Linked DNA regions of Kluyveromyces lactis. The protein of the gene in region 1 binds, or shares a complex with, the protein of each later gene. Links are inferred from orthologs where the notes say so. Each region holds a gene or a part of one and is shown in the gene's direction. Other genes may lie near its edges.

Region 1 (3,680 bases):
CTTAATATATGGCAGGCAGCATCAATAATATCAAAGCTAGTCCATTCCTCATTGGGCTCAATTATCGATGTCGATACTGGTCATGAAGTTTATCAAGATGCTGTATCATTAATTTCGAATGCTTCTGTCCTCAAGTACGATATGGCTTATAGATCAGCTGGTATTATGAGAAGTATATGGAGCATGTTCAGCAACATGTTCGAAGAGTGGAAAGCGAAGAAAGACCAAAGTTCCTCTTCAACACAGTCAGAAAAGGATTTTAACTTGAGTATTACCATAAGATCTAGAATGTCTGTGAGTGTTTTCTTTGACTGCTTGTTCATATTAAGACAGAAGTGCGGTATGGCAAAACTAAAGAGAGAAAGAGAAAAGACAGTCTCCTCTGATGATGAAAATAGTGGCGATAACCATAACGGAGATGCAGAGTCCAAAGAACTACTGCCCAACGATGGGTATTCCGAAGAACATGCCAGAAGGATTATATCTACCATTCCACTTGACCCAGAGCCCATCAATGCACAGCAGTCCAGTGGAAGCAATATTACATCTCCGAACGGTTCACATAGTAGTGACGTTTTGTCATTGAAATCAATCCTAAACAAAACGTCCCCAAAGGACGAGATTTTGCAGAAACAGAAAAATGGTACAATGCCATCTTCATCTTCCCCTAGCAACAATATCATAGTATCACCTACAAACACACATGCTGGTGCTTCCAATGTTGAAACTAGCGGTTATCCCAGATCTCTAAATCCTTTGAACGCCGTCACAGACAATAAACTCATAAACCATTCTACCACCGCCAAGAAAACGAACTCCCCACAATTTAGGGTTTCAAGTCCGTCAAATCATAGTAAACCGACTCGAAAGATCAATCCTGCTGCGCAGTCCTTAAATGAGTTGTTGGAGCCACCAATACCGCAATCCTTCCAGTCCGTTACAAAATCGATAATATCAGAAGGAACTGAAAACAGAAAGGAAGATACGCCCTCAATTTCTCCAGGTCTTACGGAAAGATGGGACAACTGGGAATCAGATCTTGTTTGGAAAGATGTCGACATTCTAATGAACGAATTCGCATTCAATCCGACGTTGTAATATTAAATTATTGGTTATATATTTCTATAAATACTTATTATAAGACGAATTAAATCATCGGTTAACAGATTGATACTGCGAAATGACACCAACTGCTAACCTGTCACTGGCGAGAAACCTAAGCAAAACCAGATGTCGTTATGCACATTTTCCAAGTACTTAAAACATAATCACGTGATCGAAAATACCACCAGATTTCTCTTTCTGTACGAAATCGTTACTTTGTATCGAAAATTTTTTTGAATTGTAAGAATGCCAAATTCGAAATCAGTTTCAACAGAATTGAGTAGATATATGTGGATATGATTAATCTCGATGAGTAATGAAGGTGTAAAGGTATAAAGATCTTGTTAGCAACCGAGTTTAATTCCAGAGAATAGAACGGCCAGGTGCAGTATTTGGGAAAGTATCAAAAAGGATATCTAGTGATAGTTTTTTCTGATTGTTTATAATACCTAAAGTTCAGGATGTCTGATTTGCAAAACCAAGAGCCAAGTATTGTCATCAATGGGGATCTTAATGATGAGCCAATAGATACATTTGAGGTTGAAGAAGAGGAGCAAGTTTTTGATGAAGTGAAGCCTAAGAAGACTGTTACTTTCAGTGGGATTGATGATGTGGAAGCGGATGAAGAACGTAGAAAGAGAGAATTTGAAGAAGGTGGTGGTCTTCCAGAGCAACCAACGAACCCAGATTTTTCCAAGTTGAACCCTCTATCACCAGAAATTATCAATAGACAAGCCACTATCAATATTGGTACTATCGGTCATGTCGCTCACGGTAAATCTACCGTTGTGAGAGCTATTTCAGGTGTTCAAACCGTTCGTTTCAAGGATGAATTAGAACGTAATATTACCATTAAATTAGGTTACGCCAATGCCAAAATCTATAAAGCAGAAGATCCAGAATGCCCAGAACCAGACTGTTATAAGTCTTTCAGATCTGACAAAGAAGTTGCACCAAAGGTTGATCTTCCAGGTTACAGTGGACGTTATAAACTAGTCCGTCATGTTTCCTTTGTCGATTGTCCTGGTCACGATATTTTAATGTCTACCATGTTGTCTGGTGCTGCCGTTATGGATGCAGCACTACTTCTAATCGCAGGTAACGAATCCTGTCCTCAACCACAAACCTCTGAACATTTGGCTGCTATCGAAATTATGAAGTTGAAGCACGTTATCATTTTACAGAACAAAGTCGATCTAATGAGAGAAGACTCTGCTCTGGAACATCAAAAATCTATTTTGAAATTTATTAGAGGTACCATCGCTGATGGTGCTCCAATCGTTCCAATCTCAGCCCAATTGAAATATAACATTGATGCTGTGAATGAATTCATCGTGAAAAGTATTCCTGTTCCTCAAAGAGACTTCTTAGCGTCTCCGAGATTGATTGTCATTCGTTCCTTTGATGTTAACAAGCCAGGTGCCGAAATCGAAGATTTGAAGGGTGGTGTTGCCGGTGGTTCCATTTTGACTGGTGTTTTCAAATTAGGCGATGAGATCGAAATTAGACCAGGTATCGTCACTAAAGATGATCATGGTAAGATTCAATGTAAGCCAATTTTCTCCAATATCGTTTCCCTATTTGCTGAACACAACGACCTAAAATTCGCCGTTCCAGGTGGTTTGATTGGTGTTGGTACTAAGGTCGATCCAACGTTATGTAGAGCAGATCGTCTAGTGGGTCAAGTCGTTGGTGCTAAGGGCCATTTGCCATCTATCTACACCGATATCGAAATTAACTACTTCCTATTGCGTCGTCTATTAGGTGTAAAGACCGATGGTCAAAAACAAGCAAAGGTTAGAAAGTTAGAGCCAAATGAAGTTTTAATGGTGAACATCGGTTCCACCGCTACTGGTGCCCGTGTGGTTGCCGTCAAAGCCGATATGGCAAGATTACAATTAACTTCCCCTGCATGTACAGAAGTTAATGAAAAGATTGCATTATCTAGACGTATCGAAAAGCATTGGCGTTTAATTGGTTGGGCTACTATCAAGAAGGGTACCACTCTTGAACCAATCGCTTAATCTGTAAATTAACTAAATGATTTTATATATGTCTATATGTATATATTGTCACATTAATGTTCCATTTTCTTGGTAGAAAAGGCCACATTCTTTTGCAAGATGAATATCTTTATTCTTCATGATGAAATGCCTAGGTTCTACTTGTTAGCAGTTATTAATGAAATTGCGTCCCTATACGATTCTGTTGCCAGGAATTTGGGCAAAGAGTCGTTCTTCATCATGATAAATACGGTATTTCTGATTTTTTCCAGTAACTGATACAAATCCTTCAACATTGATATAGCATGAATAATGACGTATGACTCAGTACCCTTATTAAGAGGTGTCGGCGCCAATGGCATTGACGTGTTACTATGGGATTGTACTTTATGCTCCACGCATTTCTTCCGGGCAGCAGGATCGAGGCTTAAGGGTCTATTAACAGATGCATCCGAAATGGCTCTTGAACAATTTTCCTTGCCTGAAGTGTCGAACGCAGTTTTAGTTGGAGACTGAGGGTGGAATATTATTCCAGTAATTGTTTCTCTAACGTTATGATCAATATTAAGTTGA
Region 2 (2,808 bases), about 150 kb from region 1:
GCTCAGAGATGTCCTGAATTATATTTAAAGCCTTTAGCACATCTATTTCGGAGAAAAAGAAAAAGTAACCTTTTAACATGAAAAATTGAAAAGTTCACAGAATTTGGATTATGAGATGAGATGAGCTAAGATATGAACAGAGAACAGGAAAACTACGCAATCAAGCCCAAAATACAGAACGAAATTATTGTAAGATGAGTCTACATACAGGACCTTTAGATCAAGAAGATCAAGAAGCTATCATCGTTGATGCAAGAGCTGGAGATTTGGAGTCTCTTAAGGATATTTTTACCACTTTGATAGATCCAAGTGCACTCATTGAATGTACAGATGAATTGTCTAAGTCATCTGCCTTGCATATGGCAGCCGCCAACGGTCATTTCGAGGTGGTAAAATATCTACTAAGCATTTTCCCAAAGGATAAACTAAAGGAATGGGTCAACAAGCAAAACGAAACAGGTAACACTGCATTGCACTGGGCTTCGTTGAATGGTAAATTGGATATAGTACAGCTTCTTTGTGAAGAGTATGAGGCTGATCCATTCATCAGGAATAATTTCGACCATGATGCCATCTACGAAGCTGAAAACAACGGACAAGAAGAGATAGAAACATATTACTTGAAGAAGTTCGACGTGGAACCCGAATCGACCGAAAATGAGGAAGAAACTTCATCGGAAAAGGAAGGAGAACAAGCCTCACAGCCCGCATCTATCGACAACGTCCAATTTAGAGAAGGTACAGAGATTGAACAAGTGACCAAAGAAGCTACAGAAGCTCTAAGAGAGCAAACTGAAAAGCTTCAACTAGAATAAGTTTCCTCTGAAAATGAACCGTGGTCAAAAAAAAATCATTCGGCTGGAAAGCTGTATTGTGGCCAATTTGAGCATAAAATATGAACCAAATGTCCATGTACATAACTGTATACTAATCATCAATAAACATAGGTACACCTACCTCATGCGCCCAACAAGCGGAGTTTTATCTAACCAGACTCAAAGGCCAAAGAATAGATAAGTCACGTGTGTTACCCGAACACTGAACGTGCACAATGACAACACTATCGCGTGGCCTGGGAAAATTTTGAAAATAGTGAGTTTTCGGAAAACCAAGAGAATTGAAACGACTGGATCGCAATTGTCATCGCTATTCAATATCCTATTGGATTCTTCAGCTCATATTTGCACAAGGGTAAGACAACTTCTGTGGAAATCTGTTGGCAAGAGTCTAGTTCGTGTAAAGTTCAAGGCCCTTTCCGTTATTACTAAGGAGATTAGCAAGAAGCGAGAAGATACAAAGATACTCAACGATGACTGATGTTGCGGCCGACTTAGGATTCGATCCAACGATGAAGAAGAAGAAGAGCAAGAAGGTAGTTCCGGAAGAACTGATTGCTGCTTCCACCGAGGGAACAGATGATCTTTTTGCTGGTTTGAAGAAGAAGAAGAAGAAGAGCAAGGAAGGTGAAGAAACCACTGAGAAGCAAGTGGACGACATTTCAGATGCTCTAGGCGAATTGAAGTTGAAGAAAAAGAAGAAGAAGGCTGCTGCTGCCGAGAGCAGTGTGGATGACTTTGAGAAGCAATTAGAACAAGCAGGTATTTCAGTCGATGATATTGCCAAGGAGGCCACTCCAACTGAAATCGATTCTAGCATTCAACAAGATGTTGGCCTACCATACCAAGACCTATTGTCTCGTTTCTTTAAGATTTTGAACACAAATAATCCTGAATTGGCCGGTGATAGATCAGGTCCAAAGTTCAAGATCCCTCCACCAATCTGTCAAAGAGATGGTAAGAAGACTATATTTGCGAACATCCAAGAAATTAGTGAAAAATTACAAAGATCCCCAGAACATGTAATCCAGTATCTATTTGCGGAATTGGGTACCTCAGGTTCTGTTGACGGTCAAAAGAGATTGGTCATCAAGGGTAAGTTCTTGCCAAAGCAAATGGAAAATCTATTAAGAAGGTATATTCTGGAATATGTCACCTGTAAGACTTGTAAGAGTATCAATACCGTATTGAAGAAGGAACAATCGAACAGATTGTTCTTCTTGGTTTGTAAGAGTTGCGGTTCTACTAGATCCGTTTCCTCCATCAAGACCGGTTTCCAAGCCACCGTCGGTAAGAGAAAGAGAATGTAGATTAATTGATATGACGTATCAAAATAGTAGTATCATTAACATCTACCGAAAAATCAGAAAAAACTTCGACAATCTTCTAATGTTCAATACGATACAGTTCGAAAGGAATCAAATAAACCTCATAAGGCATAGCTAATATATTCATGGTTGAATATTTTCTCCAGGGAGCATCGCATCGTGCAATTCACACATAACATATGAATAACACCAAATACTTGAAAAGAAATGAGAATAGAAGGTATCTTCATCCTTCTTTCACGTTCATTATTAATTTTTTTTCTGTTTGTGTATGTTATCTAATGGTTTTTATCTAATCTGTAATTTAGTTGTTATAAACAAAACGACGAGATCAATGCTCTAAAAGATCAATTTAAATTTAAGCTCTATAATCTGAAACCCTTCCCCCAGTTAAAATATCATATCTGTGCATTTTCGATCAATTTACGGAAAGAAGGACACCACGAATTCACCGACATATCCGACAGCATCCATTTTGTAATTAAATCTGTAACCCGTTTTGAATCGTTCAAGTTGGCGAATATTTCACTCAACGCATATCTTGTGCCCTCGTTTTCCAATACATTTTCTAGAACCTTATCCACCTTAGTTTTATAAAAGGAAAATTCCTTATCTTGTAAGTTACTCGGTAACGATGTGATCCA
Region 3 (2,970 bases), on another chromosome or scaffold:
GATTTAGAATTAAGAGTGGAGACAGTTACTTCAGATACTCCCAACAGTGGAGATCCGCATTATTTACATGAATACTGGTATCGAGATGGTAAAATCTTAAGCATAGAAGTAAACACTACAACCGGAGCATCATTAGTTGTCACTAGAGGTGCATCCGGAAATTCCATCTTCAATGTGGATCCCATAGTAAAGAAGGAACCTGACAGTTTTGATTTATTCCAATTTGGTAAAAACACCAAACCCGCCTCTGCAAATATGTTCACGCCAGGGTATGTTCTTGCACAATTTAGTGCAGAAGATACGTACGAAGACATGGTTCGGATCGAAGAACCCCACTTGATAAAGTCTATTCAGCTTGTTGATACTATCCCAGTGGTCGAATTTCACAAGATTGGATTGCTATACATGGGACCCAATGACACAACTGAAAAGGATATATTGTCACACTCTATGGAGGATGGATCCCATCAATACAAATGGTTTGTTAACGAACTCGGATCAATAATAAAACTTGATCAAAATGAAACTTTTTACATCGGCGGTTTGAATCCTGGTACAGATGGAGAGTACGCGTTGATCTGGCATGATCAAAAATGTCAAATCGTGTTCCATACTGTATCCCTAATGCCTAACGACGACAAAGCAGATCCAGATCGAACAATGAAAAAAAGACACGTTGGTAATAACTTTATCAACATATATTACGATGAACGAAAACAGGACTCGTTCCCGTTTGACATAATCAAAAGTCAATTCAATTTCATAAACCTTGTCATCAAACCAATGTGGAACGGCAAAGATGAAAAAGACTCTGTGAGTGAATTCTATAAGGTGAAGATTTACAGAGCAAAAGAAGTTCCTGGTATATTCTCTACATCCCACTTCAAAATCATGCATAGGCAGCGCCTCGCAGCGTATGTCAGGCATTTATGTACTGTCGCAAACACATTCGCACAAATTTGGCACGAGTCCGTATCGTCAGAACACTGTTCTACATGGTCTCGCAGATTCGCACACATCAAAACAATCAAAACGAGGCTAAAAAATCAATCTTCTGGCGCTTCTTAGCACGATCGCATCTAGTATGGGTTACTGGTAGTTAGTATCTCTGCAGCTTAATACCTGAGGGCCATTAGTAGTAAGTAATGAAACTTAATTATAATAGTTAGGTCACGTGTAGTACATCACTCTTAACGAGCAGATCTAAAAATTTTTCGAAACTGTGATGCGAAGTATCAAAAAATTGAAAAGATTGATCATTGGAAAGCATATACAATATTGAAGCAACAAAGCAATTTCAATATCGGTATACAAAGGTTTCCAATTAAGCTTCGAACTTACGCGAGCAGTCTCTGATACCGAGGAATTTAATTTATCTGTATCTTGCGATAGATAACGATTACAAACAGAGTATACTTTCTTTGAGTTTGTGGTATATCTTCCAATTGAAAAATTACACAAGAATTTATCATCAGAGCCATTAGATATACAGAGCAGGATGTCCACTTCCAATTGTAGGTTTTACGAGAACAAGTTCCCTGAAGTTGATGATGTTGTGATGGTAAACGTCCAACAAATCGCTGAAATGGGTGCTTACGTTAGATTATTGGAATATGACAACATTGAAGGTATGGTTTTGTTATCTGAATTGTCAAGAAGACGTATTAGATCTATCCAAAAGTTGATTCGTGTTGGTAAGAATGAAGTTGTCGTTGTATTAAGAGTGGATAAGGAGAAGGGTTATATTGATTTGTCTAAGCGTCGTGTTTCTGCAGAAGATGTCATCAAATGTGAAGAAAGATACCAAAAGTCCAAGGCCGTACATTCCATCTTGAGACAATGTGCTGAGAAATACCAAGTATCATTGGAAGATTTGTACAAAGCTTATGCATGGCCTTTAAGTCGAAAGTACGGTCATGCTTACGATGCCTACAAGATGTCCATTGTGGACCCTAACGTTTGGGATGGTATTGAATCTATCAGCGACGAAATTTTCCAAGAATTGAAGGGCCAAATCACCAGAAGATTGACCCCACAAGCGGTCAAGATCAGAGCAGATGTCGAGGTTTCATGTTTCAGTTACGAGGGTATTGATGCTATCAAAGAAGCCCTAAAATCTGCTGAAGAGTTGTCCACTGAACAAATGCAAATCAAAGTCAAATTGGTGGCTGCCCCATTGTACGTCATCACCACCCAATCTTTGGACAAAGATCAAGGTGTTCAACTATTGGAAACTGCTATCGCAAAGATCGAAGAAGTCATTCTAAAGTACAATGGTGTCTGTAATGTCACAATGGCTCCAAAGGCTGTCACCGCCACTGAAGATGCTGAATTACAAGCACTATTAGAATCCAAGGAATTAGAAGGTAGATCAGATTCCGAAGATGAAGACTCCGATTACGAATAGATGGTTTAAAGTGAAACCAAAAAAAAAGGAATTAAAAAGATATACTTCTACTGCTTCCTGTTGTTATACGTGTATACAGCGTTTCGATACCTATAAGTCTTTGCATGTCCTCTCTCCATTTCTTACTTCACTTAACATTGCATTATATTTACTGATGAAGATGAAACAAAAACAAAAGGCCATTTTCTAACAGATGTTCAGGTAATAAACCTATGTTTCCACTTGACTGTGCAGAGAACTACTCTAGCATTTGAACAGGTGGTATCTGCCAATTACTGTCAGCCTTTCCATTCGATTACGACTGGACGTTTTAAAGGATTTTTACATTAGGAAACTCCCATTTTCCTTTTTTCTAGTTTCTTCTTATAATAATAAAGGGAAGCTCCATAAATCCTTATTTTGAAAAAAGAGTGAAAAGTCTTTAAAGTACAACGAAACGAAACTTCTATGTAGTAACATTAGCACATCGGGTATTTCATTTAAACGTGTATAATAAACTAATTCGAACGTCAACGTAATTTGCATTTATTCACAGCCTAGTTGGGATCCTGTATGGTATTTCA

Evidence for each region.
Region 2: the proteins of GCD11 (region 1) and SUI3 are in contact, whole or in part, in a cryo-EM structure (PDB 6QG0), measured with the Saccharomyces cerevisiae proteins. The link is inferred for Kluyveromyces lactis from reciprocal best matches to the Saccharomyces cerevisiae genes GCD11 and SUI3. Residues at the interface, in NP_010942.1 of Saccharomyces cerevisiae: Gln248, Val251, Asp252, Met254, Arg255, Glu256, Ala259, Leu260, Gln263, Leu267, Ala278, Ile280, Val281, Pro282, Ile283, Ser284, Leu287, Tyr289, Asn290, Asp292, Ala293; in NP_015087.1 of Saccharomyces cerevisiae: Val127, Gly128, Tyr131, Ser132, Leu134, Leu135, Arg137, Phe138, Phe139, Ile141, Leu142, Arg143.
Region 3: the proteins of GCD11 (region 1) and SUI2 are in contact, whole or in part, in a cryo-EM structure (PDB 6I3M), measured with the Saccharomyces cerevisiae proteins. The link is inferred for Kluyveromyces lactis from reciprocal best matches to the Saccharomyces cerevisiae genes GCD11 and SUI2. Residues at the interface, in NP_010942.1 of Saccharomyces cerevisiae: Asp322, Asn324, Lys325, Pro326, Gly327, Ala328, Glu329, Ile330, Glu331, Leu333, Lys334, Gly335, Ile359, Ile373, Phe374, Lys401, Val402, Asp403, Pro404, Thr405, Leu406, Arg408, Arg411; in NP_012540.3 of Saccharomyces cerevisiae: Val190, Ser191, Cys192, Phe193, Ser194, Tyr195, Gly197, Ile198, Ile201, Lys202, Leu205, Lys206, Glu209, Asp210, Val220, Leu222, Val223, Ala224, Ala225, Pro226, Tyr228.

What each region holds. Positions count from the first base shown.
Region 1 is NC_006040.1:897,744-901,423, reverse strand, and holds GCD11 (translation initiation factor eIF2 subunit gamma), read left to right. Parts: upstream 1-1,565; coding exon 1,566-3,128; downstream 3,129-3,680. Other genes in the region: leucine-responsive transcriptional regulator LEU3, read left to right, coding at 1-1,098; GTPase-activating protein SST2, read right to left, coding at 3,266-3,680. UniProt on the Saccharomyces cerevisiae protein: As a subunit of eukaryotic initiation factor 2 eIF2, involved in the early steps of protein synthesis.
Region 2 is NC_006040.1:750,634-753,441, forward strand, and holds SUI3 (translation initiation factor eIF2 subunit beta), read left to right. Parts: upstream 1-1,309; coding exon 1,310-2,146; downstream 2,147-2,808. Other genes in the region: YAR1 (Yar1p), read left to right, coding at 195-815; ADD37 (Add37p), read right to left, coding at 2,563-2,808. UniProt on the Saccharomyces cerevisiae protein: Component of the eIF2 complex that functions in the early steps of protein synthesis by forming a ternary complex with GTP and initiator tRNA.
Region 3 is NC_006037.1:1,020,028-1,022,997, forward strand, and holds SUI2 (translation initiation factor eIF2 subunit alpha), read left to right. Parts: upstream 1-1,498; coding exon 1,499-2,407; downstream 2,408-2,970. Other genes in the region: KLLA0_A11792g (uncharacterized protein), read left to right, coding at 1-1,068. UniProt on the Saccharomyces cerevisiae protein: eIF-2 functions in the early steps of protein synthesis by forming a ternary complex with GTP and initiator tRNA. This complex binds to a 40S ribosomal subunit, followed by mRNA binding to form a 43S pre-initiation complex.